Linked DNA regions of Danio rerio. The protein of the gene in region 1 purifies or fractionates together with the protein of each later gene. This does not show direct contact. Links are inferred from orthologs where the notes say so. Each region holds a gene or a part of one and is shown in the gene's direction. Other genes may lie near its edges.

Evidence for each region.
Region 2: the proteins of eif2b3 (region 1) and eif2b1 purify together in Homo sapiens (affinity purification with mass spectrometry; 7 studies listed by BioGRID and IntAct, counting the BioPlex papers as one, with this or other methods). This does not show direct contact. The link is inferred for Danio rerio from reciprocal best matches to the Homo sapiens genes EIF2B3 and EIF2B1.

The regions. Positions count from the first base shown.
Region 1 is NC_133177.1:37,039,237-37,049,099, reverse strand, and holds the start of eif2b3 (translation initiation factor eIF2B subunit gamma), read left to right. Parts: upstream 1-4,072; 5' UTR 4,073-4,332; intron 4,333-4,580; 5' UTR 4,581-4,588; coding exon 4,589-4,736; intron 4,737-9,863. UniProt on the Homo sapiens protein: Acts as a component of the translation initiation factor 2B (eIF2B) complex, which catalyzes the exchange of GDP for GTP on the eukaryotic initiation factor 2 (eIF2) complex gamma subunit.
Region 2 is NC_133180.1:75,664,487-75,674,409, reverse strand, and holds the start of eif2b1 (translation initiation factor eIF2B subunit alpha), read left to right. Parts: upstream 1-4,889; 5' UTR 4,890-5,176; coding exon 5,177-5,189; intron 5,190-6,106; coding exon 6,107-6,208; intron 6,209-9,923.

The DNA.
Region 1 (9,863 bases):
GAAACACAGGCAGGTGTGTTGAGGCAAATTGGAGTTAAATCCTGCAGGGACACTGGCCCTCCAGGACCGAGATTGGTGACCCCTGATATAAACTATAGAAAGGCGGGATGGTGGCTCAATGGCTAGCACTGTCAACTCACAGCAAGAAGGTCACTGGTTTGAGCCCTGGCTGGGTCAGGAGGCATTTCTGTGTGAAGTTTGCATGTTCTCCCTGTGTTCGTGTGGGTTTCCCACACAGTCCAAAGACATGCGCTGGTGAATTGGATTACCTTAATTGACAGTAGTCTATGAGTGCATGTGACGTGTGTAAATGAATAAATGTATGGGTGTTTCCCAGTACTGGTTGTGGCTGGAAAGTCTTCCTGTGTAAAACATATGCTGGAATAGTTGGTGGTTCATTGATAAACAAGAAACACTTTCATTCATTCATTCATTTTCTTTTTGGCTTAATCCCCTTATTCATCAGGGGTCACCACAGCAGAATGAACCACCAACTTATCCAGCATATGTTTTAGGCAGCGGATGCCCTTCCAGCTGCAACCCAACAGAGGGAAGCACTCATAAACACTCATTCACGCACATACACAGACAACAGACAACCCAATTGACCTATATAGTGCATGTCTTTGGACTGTAGGAGAAACCGGAGAACCCGGAGGAAACCCGTGGGAACACGGGAGAACATACAAACTCCACACAGAAATGCCAACTGACCCAGCTGAACCCATAAATCCACATTTGACCCAACACTGACTGAATTACTACAACCCAACATTTTTTAGAATGTATGTTACAGATTCCACATGCAGAACAACATCTCAACATCTCCTTCCGCAGAATTAGATATACAACAGTGTTTGATTGAATGTTTAGGCTTGTTTTGCAGTGCACACATCTGTTTCAACCAATCTACTTTCAATGATGCACATCACCAACATTTCGTATCATTTCCCTCCCACAGCCCAAACCAAAAGCAGATTTGCTTGCTTAGCTGGACATAAAAATGTAAATGAGAATGCTTGTTTTTGCACTCTGTTTGTGATCATTTAACGTGACCCCACAGAAATTGCAGCGGTCCGTTCAGGCAGCACACCAGATGTTAAACCAGGGTCATGTAATCCATATGAGATTTCTCGGGTTATCCTTTAAAAAAACAAGAGATTCACTTTACAAAAGAAGAAAAGATAAGGTGGCCAGAGTTTTGTGCACTGTGAATCACCAACAGTAACTGTTAGGAAACATAGCAAAGGTGTGAGTTTATCACACAAACACTCTAAGCTTTAACACCAATATTTCTTTAGCTTTAACTTTTCTTTCTGCTTTTTATTTTTTTTCTAAAGGAGGCAGCCTGCCCTGTTATTCCAATGTTTCTTCTGCAGGCAGCGACCAATGAAGCTCATCTCCTGTCCAGAGAAAACAAAGCTAAGCCACATTCCCAGAGTTCAATTTGCTGTTACATCGGAGGTCTGTGAATTGGGGTTTGGGCCATGCCTGTTGACTGAGGGGATCTGGGTGGAGAGAAGAGAAGACTTTACATTCTGACTGTGAAACTGGACGTTTAGTTCTCTGTGAACTTTAGGACAAGGGAGCTTTGTTGATGTGGGAAGCAAAAAGCTATTATAAAAATGTGCTACAGTAAACGTTCCTAAATAGTTACTAGGTACAGCTGTTATTACTGTAATAAAACCATAATAAAAATTGGATGTTTCAACATTCGGTATTGTTTCTGTCAGTTTATGACATTGATTTTTTTATGACAGTGGCAAGTAATACCGCATTACCACAATTTATTATGATTATTTTATTTTTTTAGGAGTGTTGGATGCTACGAAGATGGAAAACGAGTTGTTAAAAGCAGTGTTTATGACATAATCTTTTGTTGTATTGATATCATTTTCTTTTATATTACCTGCCTGCTCTACCAAACTATTGACCATATTTTGACTCTTTTAAATGATGGTTTACATACACAGCATTGTCGGTTTACAAAAAAAATCAAACACACATAATCCTGTTGCACTACTTCACTTGATTTATTTATTTATTTTTTTTAAAGATGTATTGGCCTTTTTGCCTTTATTAGATAGGACAGTATTGAGACAGGAAGCAAAGTTGGAGAGAGAGAGAGGGGGGTTAGGGTAGGGAAATGTCCTCGAGCTGGGATTCAAACTCAGGACGCCCTGATATGCTACTGCACCATATGTCGACACTCTAACCACTAGGCTATTATGCCGACTACTACACTTGATTTTGATTTTATTGTAAAAACAAACAAACAAAAAAACAAGAAAATGTTTTAAATCAAATCAAATTAAATCACTTTTACTGTCACATCCGCAAGTGCACTATGATGAGTGAAAAGCTTAGGTGCTGGCTCAAGACCCAGACCCAAAATAAAACAATATACTATTAGCAATGTTGACAGTAATATGTAAAAGACAATAAATACATGATTGACAGTAGGTTAAGAAAGAGCCACATAGACAAGTACACAGTCAAAAAGGTGTGCACATAGTTTGATAGTTTGACTGTCAAACTATAGTCAAATGAAAATTAAAAATCTAAAATATTTTATGGCAGACTTCAAAAAATAAAGATGATTTAGTATTAAAATAGTTTTATTTTGATTATGTTTTGAAAAAAATTGTCTTTTACAATTCATATATTCAGATTTTTCATTCAGATTTTCATTTACCATAAACCGACATGTCTACTATTTGGTAGAGGTTGACTTTTTTTTTTTAATTATGGAACGTGTTGAAAAAATGCATTGAGTGTTTTAACTAGAGACATTAGTAGTTAAGAAATGCTATCCAAAAATGTTTTTCTTGGTGGGGCAGTTAAAGGGTTAAACATAATAGGGTGAGCCTAAAGTTGGACATTGCCTAATGTGGGACACCTATGATATATAAAACTATTAAAAAAAAATATCTGGGTATTTTATGCAAAAGTATTTTTAAAATAAAACAAAACATGAAGGAAGAATAAATCATATTTAACTATCTTGTTATATTAATTAAAAAAAAAAGTATACCATAGTGTTTGTTATCGTCATTCATTCATTCATTCATTCATTCATTCATTCATTCATTCATTTTTTTTTGTTTATTCCCCTTATTCATCAGGGGTCGCTACAGCAGAATGAACCGCCAACTTGTCTAGCTTATGTTTTACACAGCAGGTGCCCTTCCAGCTGCAACCCATCACGGGGAAACATCCATTCACATGCATACACTACAGCCAATTTAGTTTATTCAATTCACCTATAGCGTATTTCTTTGGACTGAGGGGGAAACTGGAGCACTGGGAGGAAACCCACGCCAACACGGGGAGAACATGCCAACTCCACACAGAAATGCCAAATGACCCAGCCAGGGCTTAAACCAGTGACCTTCTTGCTGTGAAGCGACAGTGCTAATTACTTAGCCACCGTGTCTCCCAGTTTGATATAGTATAAAATGAAAAAAAGCAACAACTAAATACTTTATCATAAAATTCAATATGCCCATTCAACGCATATTTTTAATAAACCTGCTAAAATGCCCAGTAAATGAAATTTTTTTCTGGAAAATTAATACTTATGAGCATGACTAATACATTATAAATGTATTGTCTCGATTTAACACATTTATTAAAATTTCAACATGTCAAATTCTTATCAATGTTTTTGAAAACCATGAATATTAAATACAAAGAAGAGGGCTGGGCAATAATATGCTACATAATAATTTTACAAAGTTTAGACTAGGTAAACTATTTGTATAGCTGCTTTGAAACAATAATTATTATGAAAAGCTCTATATAAATAAACGTGAATTGAACTTTACAAGCAAAAATTACAAAAATGGAAAACAAATAGCCTCATTCACAATCTGAATCATCTATATAACAACAATAGAAGAATACGTATCCAGTTCATTACAAACATATACCCAAACTACATCAAATCAAGATAAATACAAGTAATAATCGAAATTATCATCGAAATCCTCAGGCTTTCTCTTTCTGCTTCACACAGAGGAACCAATTCTCTCTGCGGAACCAAAGTTAGAGTCGTGTTTTCCGTCCGACGCATTTCAAAGTAACGGTCTTATGTCATTATACAGAAATCTTGATAGTTTTTTTGCAGACAGCCAGAGATTAAACATTGTGACAGTTTTCACTTGTTATTAAACTTTTCATTTATCTAGTTAGAAACTCTCGGTTTTAACAGAACTTATTTGAAGACGGCGAGGCAAGCCTGATCCATATGAACGTCTGCTACAGTGCTGCAGCTTTCACGTGCACGGACTCGATACTTTACACATTATAAACATTTGATAATAAACACAGGTAAGTCGACTGTGTGTGTATTTCTGAACTCGTCGATAAATAGTAGCTTCAGAAGTAGTTATGTTTCATCGTGCGGCTCAGCTGACGAATGTAGATGATGAAATGAGAGTCCTGACAGGCGTAATGTCTTAAACATGACAAGGAAATACATATATTGAACATAATACTCCGTCTGTCACTTTGCTGGATTGTTTTGTTGTTAGTGTTGTTGTTGTTTGTGGACTAAACGTGTTGTTTTGTTCTGCAAGTGTTCGGGATGGAGCTACAGGCGGTGCTGATGGCAGCCGGTGGAGGCTCCAGGATGATGGATCTCACCTATAACACCCCCAAACCTCTGCTTCCTGTGGGCAACAAACCCCTCATCTGGTACCCCCTTAACCTGCTGGAGAGAGTGGGATTTGAAGGTAAACCTACTGTCTTATCAGATAACAAAGTTCATTAGAAGTGTCACCTGCTGAGTGTATGAGGTGTACAATATTCAACACCGTTATCTAGTAAACTCGGCATTTAACACACACTTTTTCATATTGTTATTTTAGATTTTGTAATTAGGGTCTGCCTATAAAGATTGTGTTGGTGGATATGACTGATATGCTCTGCATTTTTTGGTCATCTGTAATACAGTATGGGTTCAAATGGTATTCAAATATCCTCTTTAATTATTATAGAGCAGGGCGATTAATTGAAAAGTAATAGAAATCGACATTCAGAACCTATAATCGATCAAAATTTTTCTTGTCAATTTTTTTCAATTACTTTCCCTACAGTGTGTGGAGTCACGTTAGCCTACTCTGTTAAGCCTGATATATACTTTTGCATTGAACGCATGGGTATGGTCTGGAGCAGCTTTTAAGTGGACGAATACTCGCGCACCTCTCGAAAAATGTAACTACAGATCGCACATTTGCATTACATTGACGATGATTGGAAGCTGCATCAGAGAAGCCTTGAGACAGCGTATTTTCTATTACAATAAAATTATTATTCACATTAAAATATTTGTTTACAGACGATTCAAGAAATACAGTTTAAAATATTAATAACATGATATACAAAAGTTGTTACATTCTGAAGAGATTCTGCTTATTTTCTTTTTAAAACATTGAAAATAATTGATTTTGTTTTCAAAAGTGCAAGTTATTTGTTTTCACTTTTTTATAAGAAAATAGTGACTGTTCGTTTTAAGCAATGTGTGTTTTAATTTCAAATCACTTTTACTGTCACATCATCAGCAGTATGTGTGCTATGATGAGTGAAAAGCTTAGTTGAAAAAATTTCAGTTGTTCAACACTGATGTTCAGTAAATAATCATAGATAGTAAATATCTTAATCAAGTAAAGCACCGTTCATTCAAAAATCTCTCACTTGTAAAATGTGAGCATATTTACTGTACAAAACCTGTCAGTGAACTATGAGTTCAAAAAATCGAGTTAAAATGTTCAGTTAATTGAGATTGAGAGATTATTTTTATTTTTATTATTATAAAGTAGGTTTCATCTGTAATTCAATCAAACAATCACCTTACTACAATCACCAGTAAAATTAAATTACACATTAAAACACAGACAATGACGAAGAACAAAATCAAAGCAATGATGTCAATAAAACAATCATACTAATTTAAACTGCTGAACATCAAATGCTATTCTAAGTAAATGGGGTTTAAGTTTAGCTTTAAGTAGTGCTGCATTTGTGATGGTGTGTTTTTTGGTTATTTATATTTATATTTTTAGGTTATATTTATTATTGTATTTTTTTTCATGCGAATTAAGTAGGGCTGCACAATATATAGTTTCAGGATCAATATCGCAATGTGATCATTCGCATAAGTCACATCGCAAGTATGTGTAATGTTGAGTCTGGATTATAATGTAGCTTATTGCAAGTGTTTTTTGAGGCCTACGACTTTCAGAGGCTTTTAAAGGCATGAGAATATTTACCATTTGCAACTCTCAAATATTAATAATGATTAATTTTATCGAACTGTTTGTAAAATAAATACTTTGCACTATTATCTTACATTTGAATATTCAATTATTTTATACCTGATGACATTTTAACTTTTTAAAATAAAATTCAGTTTATTTAATTAGCATATTTAGATTTTTGAATTTATCTATGCTTGTAGATTGTTTCTTATATTTTATGCACTCTACTACAGAATTATCCCAATCAATCTGAAATTATAAATTCTTTCTAAACAGTTATTCTACTCATCTAGTGAAATTGTATTCATATCGCAATATATATCGTAGAATAAAAATTTTTTTGCAATGCAAAATTTTTCCAATATCGTGCAGCCCTTGAATTAAATGTATGTATGTATGTATGTATATATATATATATATATATATATATATATATATATATATATATATATATATATATATATATATATATATATATATATATAAATATATACACACACACACACACACACACACACACACAATAACCATCAATAGCCCTTTTCCAATATCGTGCAGCCCTTGAATTAAATATATATATATATATATATATATATATATATATATATATATAAATATATATATACATATATATATATATATATATATATATATATATATATATATATATATATATATATATATATATAAATATATACACACACACACACAATAACCATCTAATAATCATTTGCAGGTTATCGCTGTTAGTTTACTTAGAGACTGTAACAGTATAATTTTCCAAAACTTGCACATTAATAATTCTCTTTGTTCCAGACACTAGGTTCAATAGTACAAAAGACCTTAAAAAAGACAGTTATGCCAATATTTCATTAAAGGTGACTGAAAATGCACTTCAGTAAACCCAGAATTTATCAACAACATTAAAATGCTATTCTGAGAATTTCTTTCACTAGTTAAATGATAATAAGATGAGATCATGAGAAATATTTTATGTAACAGTCTACATAACAGATCTCACAGTTATATCATGCACTCTGTAAAAAAAACTAAAAAAAGCATTCATTTAGCTGACTCATTGTTTAATAGCCAATTGGAAGCTCTGCTTGTAAATAGCTCTGAATGGATTTGCTGACAAGGGATTGGATGACATTATTGGAGGTGGGCCCTTAGAGAGTGGGTGTGTGTGGTGGACGATAAGTCAACAAAATTGCTTACAACACATTTAATCTGCAGGTGGTAATAATTTGTGCAGGCTGCTTAAATTGAACTAATAAAGTCCTTATTTCCTAAATAGGGAAGGTAGGGTAGTTTTTACAATTGGCTCACTAAAATGGCTTGGTTTCCACGTTACACCCACCCGCACACATGCTGCTTCTCCGTTTTAGTGTCAAGACTTTTTTATTTTTTTTTCAGAAAACAGGAGCTTGATTTTAGAACTAGATCTTTCTAGTTTTGACTGCAAATTTTGAGTAAAAGGATGTACACTACCCGTCAAACTTTTGGGATCAGTATGATTTTTAAATGTTTTAAAAAAAGCTTATCCTGCTCATCAAGGCTGCATTTGTTTAATCAAAAATACAGTAAAAAATTGTACAATTGACAAAATGTTGTTGCAGTATAAAATAACTGTTCAAATAGAGTAAAAAATTATTTAATAGTTTAATCCAGTGAATTTAAAGATGAATTTTTAGCTTCATTACTCCAGTCTTCAGAGTCCCTCACGTGATCCTTTAGAAATCACTCTAATATTAATTATTGTTATTATTATTATTATTATTATTATTATTATTATTATTAATGGTAATAGTAATAAAAGCAACAACGTTGTTGGGCGATGTTAACCAATTTGGCATCATACGATGTCTAATGTGAAATTGCAATGGACGATGGCATCCCTGAATTGAGTATTTATGAATAATTAATTAATTTATAACAAATAAATTATTTGTAGCCTACCATTTCAACTACCTGACCCGCATGGTCTTTGTTTTTACTCATATCCAAATCATGAATAAATAAAGATAAATTACACACAAATTACCACCTGTCAATCACTTTTTCCACAGGACTCTGGCATTATAAAGGGGTTGAAAAACTTGGTTGGTAAAAAAAGGTGCACAACCAACTGAAACCAACCAACAGTATCTGAGGTTTCGCTAAAATTACCAAGTACAAGTGTAAAAGTGAAAGATTGAAGCAGTGTACTGATGCTGTGACACGTTACCTGAAAGATTTAAAAGACTGAAGAGTCGTTAGATGGAGGCAAGATTAATTCAATATTACGTTTAAGAGTGAGACGCGATCCAGCAGTACATCCTTGATAACCTGTCTGTCGTGCACTGCTTTCTGGGGTTCTGTGCTCAAAGCCCCCTTTGACTGCCTGGAGCTTAGACTTGCGCATACACTGCAGCTCATGCCAGAGTGTGCGTGTGTTTGTGGTCACGTATGTGCACATTCAGTGGTATAGGGAGATCTGTTCAGAAAAGCTAGGTGAAACGCTAGTGTGGACGTGGATTGTTTTCGTTCTAAAATGCCATTTTAAAAGTAAGAATTATAAGTATAAACGGGGCCTAAATATGTATTTTTTGTGAGCGGGTTGCTGCTGCGACGGGGGCGTAGCAGAGGATCGCAATGCCGGCTCAGCATCGTGATGTCTATCAGCCATCGGGATAGATGAAGGCACCGTCTATCGACCCAACCCTACTACATACAATAAGTAATAAATAAATATTTAATAAAGTATTTTACAATTTAACAATTGTCGTTAGATTTAATAAATGTCACCTTGATGAACAGAATAATTTTATTTAAAAAAAAAAAAAAAAAAAAAAACTGACCCCAAACTTTTGACCAGTAGTCACTCTACAGAAGTAACATTTGTAACTATTGCATGTGTTTAAATGTACAAAAACTGTGTACAACTAAACTGATAAAAGACAAATTAAATAAAGCCAAGGTATATTCAGCATAGCTTTTTTTAGGCTGGAAGGACACTGAATGATAATATACAATTACACAATTGCAGTAGTCAAATGCACCCCAGACAACTAATGCTGGCCCGTTCCAACTGTAATAAATTGACTTCAGTCTAGTACTTGAGGACTAATGGCAGAGTGCCTTATTCTTTAAGCCAGCATTTTTTTCCCACAAACTAAGAAATAAGAGCCTTTCAGCAGGCCCACCCTTATTTTGGGGCAGCATAGCATGGAGCAGTATATTGTTTAATAAAGCTAGTAAGGACTAAAGTTATTTAAATGTAATGATTCAAATATAAAATGAACAACATTTTAAATAAAACAAATGAATATGGTGTTACCTGTTTAATTAACTTTAATTTATAAGTTTAAAAGATATGTCATTTTGACTTTTTATGGCAGGACATTTTGCCAAAAATGCTGATTTATAATAAAAAAATAAATAAAACCAATTTGAATTAAATGTAAATAAAATGTGCAATTTAAAATGTATTTTCATTGACATTATTAATAAATAAACATATTAAACATTAAATAATCTACTTTTGGATTTTCTTTTTAAAATGTGTTTAAAGAATGCTTTATTTTTCCTTTGAATTGATAAATTGTTCCTTCATTTTATTTT
Region 2 (9,923 bases), on another chromosome or scaffold:
TCCACTGCTTACTGGGATACAAGAAGTGGCTTGGAAACACAACAACAGCATTGCTTTAGTATGATTTCGATATCCAGTTGAAGTCAGAATTATCAGCCCCCCCCTTTACGTTTTTTTTTTCCCTAATATTTCCTAAATGATGTTTAGCAGATTCAGGAAATGTTAACAATATGTCTGATAATATTTTTTCTTCCGGAGTAAGTCTGATTTCTTTTATTTCAGCTAGAATAAAAGCAGTTTTTAATTTTTTAAACACCATTTTAAGGACAAAATTATTAGCCTGTTTAAGCTATATATTTTTCTCGATAGTCTACAGAACAAATCATCATTATACAATAACTTGCCTAATTCCCCTAACCTGCCTAGTTAACCTAATTAACCTAGTTAAGCCTTTAAATGTCACTTTAAGCTGTATAGAAGTGTCTTGAAGAATATCTAGTCAAATATTATTTACTGTCATCATGGCAAAGATAAAATAAATCAGTGATTAGAGATGAGTTATTAAAACTATTATGATTAGAAATGTGTTGAGAAAATCTGCACTGCTAAACAGAAATTGGGGAAAAAATAAACAGGGTGAATAATTCTGACTTCAGCTATATATATTTGTTTTTTATCCTGGGGTCCGTTCTTTGTACCTCACTTAAATGATCTAAGATGATTTGGCAGATCCTGGATCTTTTAATCTCTATGGCTGATCTCTGGCTAATTTGGTTCTTCAAACAAGTTCGCGAATCAGATTAGAATGTCTGGATAAACTGATCTGAGATCGCTGCATGTGTTGTGAAGGACAGATCTATGTATCCTCGAAATCATGATCAGCAAAGCAACGATTGGCTGATGGCACAGCAGCGTAATGACATCATCCGATTTATATTTGATTATCCATGTGAGCAAAATGACATCAAATTAGCAGTAAACGGTTTGATAAATATGACACGCATCAACTTTCCACATTTGTTGTGGACTGCAGGCTTTACTCTTTCATGTGTCAAGAGTATTCATCATATCAATGTATTTAGTTCTACATTTAGAGAAGATTTTCTTCATTATAGTAGCCTATAGGCCTACTCAAGTTTTTTTAATCGGCGCAGGCAAATAACTGTATAAATTAATTTTGCATCAAAAAAACATTTTGATATCGGTAAAGGTGCAGGCAACTTTTGCGAAACATCAAATCAGCGGCATATTAGCGGTCAAACACCTCCATGACTGCATAAATTATTATCCTTGTTTTTTTAAAGTTGAATATTGTGCGTGTACGCGTTTGTAACTAAAAAGATCATATCAATAAATTTTTCTCTTTGTACTTTTATTTCGGAGTGCAGATTACATTGTTTTATTAAAATATATATATTTTTTACTTATAGTTAAAAAATACATGTTTACTATTTTCCCAAGTGTATATATCTACTGTAAGAAATTATCAGCATTCAGTACATACTTTCAGTATTACCTTTGCTTGTTTGCTTTGCTAATCCTGTTTATATTAATTGAACCTGCACCGATGCAGGTTTGAGCTATCAGAACTGTTGCTATGACAACAACTCTCAGGTCAGTATTGAAGAACGAAACGATCCTGGATCGTGTCAAATCGTCAATACCCAAATCCAGCTAATTGAGTAATCCACGTACGAAGAACGAACCCCTGGACTGATAATATGCCTGATATATAAAATTAATTGTCTATGTTTACCTTTCGTGATACAGGCTGGCGATGACGGCTAGTTTGTTGGTCCTTGACATGACCAAATGAGCATTTGCCAGGACCATCAAACTGTCCAAACATGCTGAAAGGGTGAACTGAAGGAAAATAAATAACAAGTTATTTGTTCACCTGTATTGGTAATAGCGATAATAGTGCAAACATGGTGGATTATAGTGAATAAACAGTTGCTGCTAGAAGGGAAACAGCTGCGGCCAGAAGTTTAAATGAGAATTTATTATATTATTTATGTAATAATGACCTATCAATTGTATTTTATTAACATCTACTTAAACCCCAACCCACACAGTAATGTAAACACCGTAATTATACAGAATATTATTCATGTTACTTATGTATCAACATCCTCCTCACCCCAACACTAAAACTACCTGAAAAGTATTCATTACTGTTGTACAACAGTACACTCACCGGCCACTTTATTAGGTACATCTTACTAGTACCAGGTTGGACCCCTTTTGCCCTCAGAACTGCCTTAATCCTTCATGGTATAGATTCAACACGCTACTGGAAATATTCCTCAGAGATTTTGCTCCATATTGACATGATAGCATCACGCAGTTGCTGCAGATTTGTCGGCTGCACATCCATGATGCCAATCTCCTGCTCCACCACATCCCAAAGGTGCTCTATTGGATTGAGCTCTGGTGACTGTGGAGGCCATTTGAGTACAGTGAACTCATTGTCATGTTCATGAAACCAGTCTGAGATGATTCACGCTTTATGACATGGTGCCTTAACCTGCTGGAAGTAGCCATCAGAAGATGGAGACACTGTGATCATAAAGGGATGGACATGGTAGGCTACAATACTCAGGTAGGCTGTGGTGTTGACACCATGCTCAATTGGTACTAATGGACCCAAAGTGTTCTAAGAAAATCTCTCCCACACCATTACACCGCCACCACAAGCCTGAACCATTGATACAGGGCAGGATGGATTCATGATTTCATGTTGTTGACTCTAAATTCTGACCCGAACATCTGAATGTGTCAGCAGAAATGGAGACTCATCAGAGCAGGCAATGGTTCTCCAATCTTCTATTGTCCAGTTTTGGTGAGTCTGTGTGAATTGTAGCCTCAGTTTCCTGCTCTTAGCTGACAGGAGCGGCACCCGGTGTGGTCTTCTGCTGCTGTAGCCCATCCGCCTCAAGGTTGGACGTGTAGTGTGTTCAGAGATGCTCTTCTGCAGACCTCGGGTGATTATTTGAGTTACTGTTGCCTTTCTATCAGCTGGAACCAGTTTGGCCATTCTCCTCTGGCATCAAAAAGGCATTTGTGCCAACAGAACTGCCGCTCACTGCATATTTTCTCTTGTTCAGACCATTCTCTGTGAACCCTAGAGATGGTTGTGCGTGAAAATCCCAGTAGATCAGCAGTTTCTGAAACACTCAGACCAGCCTGTCTGGCACCAACAATCATGCCACATTCAAAGTCACTTAAATCCCCTTTCTGATGCTCGCTTTGAACTGCAGCAGATCGTCCTGAGCATGTCTTGAAGCCTAAATGCATTGAGTTGCTGCCCTGTGATTGGCTGATAAGAAATTTGCGTTAATGAGTAGCTGGACAGGTGTACCTAATAAAGTGGCCGGTGAGTGTATAATGACGGGAGTAAACGCAGCTGTATCTCTTATAGACTTTACCTAAAATAAATTTAAATATTAATGAATTAATATTAAACTGACCTTTGGCTCCCGCTGCGCCTGCTGACCCCACCACACAGGATTCACATCCAGCACTATGACCAGAATATTAATATCATCGTCTGCAAAACATCAGCAAGCGCTATTATTATTATCATCATCATCTTTTGTATGTTTATTGTTGAAGCATCTTCATCTTCTTCCTACACAAAGAGAAACCCGAGAGATCGAAAAACCGTTAAACGTTTCATTAATGGTGTTTGTGTGATTTACAAACCCGAAGCCATTGCTGCAATTCCGGCGTCTCTAAATTGATATAAAACTGTATTTCTTTGCTGTTTTCTTCAATATGTTGAAAGTTGTGCTGTTTGGACTCATGCTTAAATCTTCTTCTGTTTATTTAATGGAGAGATTGAACTCAGTGTAGCGCCACCTGCTGTACTGGTGCAGGAAAAAAAATATCATTTTTTAATTTTCCTTCTTTATTTTATTTCGTTTTATTTTATTTTTGTTTTATTTTTATATTTTTTTTACTGTATTTTATTTATTTTTTATTTTATTTTTGTTTTATTTATTTTTGTTTTCTTATTTTTATTTTTATTTATTTTATTTACAATCCTTCGGCCTTCTAATCACAATATTTAGTTTAGTTTAGATTTATTTTCTTTGATTTTATTTTTTTAATTTTTTTATTTTTGTTTTATTTTATTTATCTCATTTCAATTCATTTTTTTATTTTAACTAATCTTATCTTATCCTATCTTATTTTACTATTATTTTTTATTTTTCATTTTTTTTACTTTACTTTATTTTATTTTATTTAACTTTTTTATCTTATTTTATTATTTTATTTTATTTCCTTTTACTTTTTATCTTATTTTATTGTTTTATTTTATTTAATTTTACATTATTTTAATTTAATTTTATTTAATTTTATTTAATTTTATTTAATTTTATTTTATTTTATCACTCTTTTTTTATATTATTATTAATATTATTATTTTATTTTATTATTATTTTGTTTTATTTTACTCACTATCCTCCGGCATTCCATATGCAATATTATATTTTATATTTATTTATCTTGCAGAGACAACTAAACTTTTTTTTTCAGGCACCGAAATTAAACTCTACAAGCTCACAGTTTGTATATGTCTATACTTATAACATTTAATTTTATTATTTTACTTTGAAAAAATATATATATATCATTAGCAGTATATTATTATGCATTCCGTATTGTGTTCTATTAAGTTACGTTAATTAATGTATTTCCTACTCATTAAAGTACTAAATTTATTCCTTATACACACAACAATTATTAATATAAATTAATTTTAGTTCTTTTTTGTACTAATTTATTTATATGCCGTAATAATATTTTTAAAAATATTCGATTCGATTGATAATTATTTTAATTGTGTTATTATACAGTTTGAATAACCCTGTAGTAGAGAATTAAACAAATGATCCTGCTGTTTTTCTGCTGTCCAGCAGCGGCGCTACATGAAGCGACTGTTCACTCGACATAAAACAACGAAGAAGAAGAAAGTGAGCATGTCCACTTGTTCACTGTAAATAGCCTTTCATTTGAAATACACTAGAAGAATAGATGTTATTCAGTTTCTGAAAGGGATCGTATGAAATAAATGGGTAAAGCAAGCATTACTTTGTAGACAAACTTTAAACAATTCGTCGTACTGGATGTCAGAGAGCGTCATGACAGATCGTTGCATCAGCGACACTATCATTATTAGCTCGTGAAACTCAAAACTTGACAGATCTCTGAGAGAGAAAGTGCTTTTAAAATGGAGGAAAGAGGTGAGTTTGACAACAACACAAGACAGAACACACTTAATAATTATTCAGAGATGATTCTGAGTTATTTGCGTAGCTGCTTTGCTTTCCTGAGCATCTTATATTACATTTTGAATTATATTATGATCAATTATGTTGATATGTTGGTTGGTAACGCAAGGCATTTGTGCTTGTTTTCGACCTGTTTGATTGACACACATAATATCAATAATAATTGAGAACATTTCGTGATTCCACGTGTATATATGTATAGCTAATGCATTATGGGAACATCTAAAGACTTTGTTGATCAGGAGATTAATAATATTTCATTTATTTAATTATTTAAAGGTGCAAGAGTCATGATGTTTACACAGATGATTATAGCTGCTCATAGTGTGTGTTATAAAAGCTGTTCTTTATTAATTTTAGGGTTTGACTTTTTTGTTCACTCGCTATTTAATGTCTGAGTAATTGTTAAATGTTGTTAAATGTTTCAATGTTGTTAAATTGTTGGTAATTGTAGTTATTTGTGGTCAAAATTATGAATAGCTTTACTATACTATACTGTAAGTCTAACATTTTACCAAAAGGTTCAGTTTATTATTAATTAATTCATCGGCTAGTACTAAAGACTATAAACATAATTATAAACATAATTATCTAAAATATATTTTACACTTTATATGAGTTTAGTTTTATACTGTATTGTTATCCAGCAGAAGTTTAAATACAATTTCAGTTAGGTAATTTGAAGTTAAGTACTTTTCTTACCCAACACAGCTTACTTTCACCAAACAATTCAACAGCGAAGGTACAGAATTACAAAGACAAAAATGCAAAACGTTTACATTTATACCCTGATATTTTCAGATTGGGAATTAAAACAATTCAACAGTGGAAGTCAGTAATTTATTTGAATATGTATTTCTCTCTTCCAGAACTGGTGGAGTATTTCCGTGGGCAGATCAGGGAAGATCCAGATGTGGCTTCAGCGGTGGCTGCGATTCGATCACTGCTTGAGTTCCTGAAGAGGGATCAGAGTGAGTTTGTGCTGTTTGATTTTCGGCTTGGGATGTGGATGTGAACTGATGCTTGAAATAGATGTGAACCGATGCTTGATGTGGATGTCAACTGATGTGAATTGATGCTTTATTTGGATATGAACTAATGTGAACCGATACTTGATATGGATGTGAACTAATGTGAACTGGTTCTTGTTGTGGATGTCAACTGATGTGAAGCGATGGTTGATGTGGATGTGAACTAATGTGAACTGATACTTAATTTGAATGTGAACTGGTTCTTGATGTGGAAGTCAACTGATGTGAACCGATGGTTGATGTGGATGTGAACTAATGAGAATTGATACTTGATATAGAAGTGAACTCATGAGGGTGTGAACCGATACCTGATATAGATATGAACCCATGCTTGATGTGGATGTGAACTAATGTGAACTGAAACTGGATAATATAGATGTGGATCAATGTGGGTGTGAACCGATGCTTGATTTAGATGTGAACAAATGTGAACTAATACTTGACATAGATGTGATTGTAAACCGATGCTTGATGTGCATGTGAACCGACTCCTGATGTGGGTGTGAACTGATGCTTGATGTGGATATAAACTAATGTGAAGATATAATTGATATAGATGTGAACAGATTCTTGATGTGAATGTGAAATGATGTGAACTAGTTTGAACCTATGCTTGATTTGGATGTGAACTAGTGTGAACCGATGCTTGATGTGGATGGGAACTAATGTGAATCGATACTTTATGTAGATGGGAACTGATGCTTGATAAGGTTGTGAAATTATGTGAACTAATGTGAACCGTTTCTTGATTTAAATGTGAACTAGTGCGAACTGATGCTTGATGTAGATGGGAACTAATGTGAACCGATGCTTGATTTGGATGTGAACTAGTGTGAACCGATGCTTGATTTGGATGTGAACTAGTGTGAACCGATGCTTGATGTGGATGGGAACTAATGTGAATCGATGCTTGATTTGGATGTGAACTAATGTGAACTGATGCTTGATGTAGATGGGAACTAATGTGAACCGATGCTTGATTTGGATGTGAACTAGTGTGAACCGATGCTTGATGTGGATGGGAACTAATGTGAATCGATGCTTGATTTGGATGTGAACTAGTGTGAACCCATGCTTGATGTGGATGTGAACTAATGTGAACTGAAACTGGATAATATAGATGTGGATCAATGTGGGTGTGAGCCTATGCTTGATGTGAACTACTGTGAACTGATGCTTGATTTAGATGTGAACTAATGTGAACTAATACTTGACATAGATGTGATTGTAAACCGATGCTTGATGTGCATGTGAACCGACTCCTGATGTGGGTGTGAACTGATGCTTGATGTGGATATAAACTAATGTGAAGATATAATTGATATAGATGTGAACAGATTCTTGATGTGAATGTGAAATGATGTGAACTAGTGTGAACCGATGCTTGATGTGGATGGGAACTAATGTGAATCGATACTTTATGTAGATGGGAACTGATGCTTGATAAGGTTGTGAAATTATGTGAACTAATGTGAACCGTTTCTTGATTTAAATGTGAACTAGTGCGAACTGATGCTTGATGTAGATGGGAACTAATGTGAACCGATGCTTGATTTGGATGTGAACTAGTGTGAACCGATGCTTGATTTGGATGTGAACTAGTGTGAACCGATGCTTGATTTGGATGTGAACTAGTGTGAACCGATGCTTGATGTGGATGGGAACTAATGTGAATCGATGCTTGATTTGGATGTGAACTAATGTGAACTGATGCTTGATGTAGATGGGAACTAATGTGAACCGATGCTTGATTTGGATGTGAACTAGTGTGAACCGATGCTTGATGTGGATGGGAACTAATGTGAATCGATGCTTGATTTGGATGTGAACTAGTGTGAACCCATGCTTGATGTGGATGTGAACTAATGTGAACTGAAACTGGATAATATAGATGTGGATCAATGTGGGTGTGAGCCTATGCTTGATGTGAACTACTGTGAACTGATGCTTGATTTAGATGTGAACTAATGTGAACTAATACTTGACATAGATGTGATTGTAAACCGATGCTTGATGTGCATGTGAACCGACTCCTGATGTGGGTGTGAACTGATGCTTGATGTGGATATAAACTAATGTGAAGATATAATTGATATAGATGTGAACAGATTCTTGATGTGAATGTGAAATGATGTGAACTAGTGTGAACCGATGCTTGATGTGGATGGGAACTAATGTGAATCGATACTTTATGTAGATGGGAACTGATGCTTGATAAGGTTGTGAAATTATGTGAACTAATGTGAACCGTTTCTTGATTTAAATGTGAACTAGTGCGAACTGATGCTTGATGTAGATGGGAACTAATGTGAACCGATGCTTGATTTGGATGTGAACTAGTGTGAACCGATGCTTGATTTGGATGTGAACTAGTGTGAACCGATGCTTGATTTGGATGTGAACTAGTGTGAACCGATGCTTGATGTGGATGGGAACTAATGTGAATCGATGCTTGATTTGGATGTGAACTAATGTGAACTGATGCTTGATGTAGATGGGAACTAATGTGAACCGATGCTTGATTTGGATGTGAACTAGTGTGAACCGATGCTTGATGTGGATGGGAACTAATGTGAATCGATGCTTGATTTGGATGTGAACTAGTGTGAACCCATGCTTGATGTGGATGTGAACTAATGTGAACTGAAACTGGATAATATAGATGTGGATCAATGTGGGTGTGAGCCTATGCTTGATGTGAACTACTGTGAACTGATGCTTGATTTAGATGTGAACTAATGTGAACTAATACTTGACATAGATGTGATTGTAAACCGATGCTTGATGTGCATGTGAACCGACTCCTGATGTGGGTGTGAACTGATGCTTGATGTGGATATAAACTAATGTGAAGATATAATTGATATAGATGTGAACAGATTCTTGATGTGAATGTGAAATGATGTGAACTAGTGTGAACCGATGCTTGATGTGGATGGGAACTAATGTGAATCGATACTTTATGTAGATGGGAACTGATGCTTGATAAGGTTGTGAAATTATGTGAACTAATGTGAACCGTTTCTTGATTTAAATGTGAACTAGTGCGAACTGATGCTTGATGTAGATGGGAACTAATGTGAACCGATGCTTGATTTGGATGTGAACTAGTGTGAACCGATGCTTGATTTGGATGTGAACTAGTGTGAACCGATGCTTGATTTGGATGTGAACTAGTGTGAACCGATGCTTGATGTGGATGGGAACTAATGTGAATCGATACTTTATGTAGATGGGAACTGATGCTTGATAAGGTTGTGAAATTATGTGAACTAATGTGAACCGTTTCTTGATTTGAATGTGAACTAGTGTGAACTGATGCTTGATGTGGATGGGAACTAATGTGAACCGATGCTTGATTTGGATGTGAACTAGTGTGAACCGATGCTTGATGTGGATGGTAACTAATGTGAACCGATGCTTGATTTGGATGTGAACTAATTTGAACCGATGCTTGATTTGGATGTGAACTAATTTGAACCGAAACTTGATATGGATTTGAAACCATGTGAACCTATGCTTGATTTGGATGTGAATCGATTCTTGATGTTTACTGATGTGAACTAATGTGAACCGATACATGATATAGATATGAGAGGATGCTTGATGAGGATGTGAAACGATATGAACCGATGTTTGATGTAAACCGATGCTT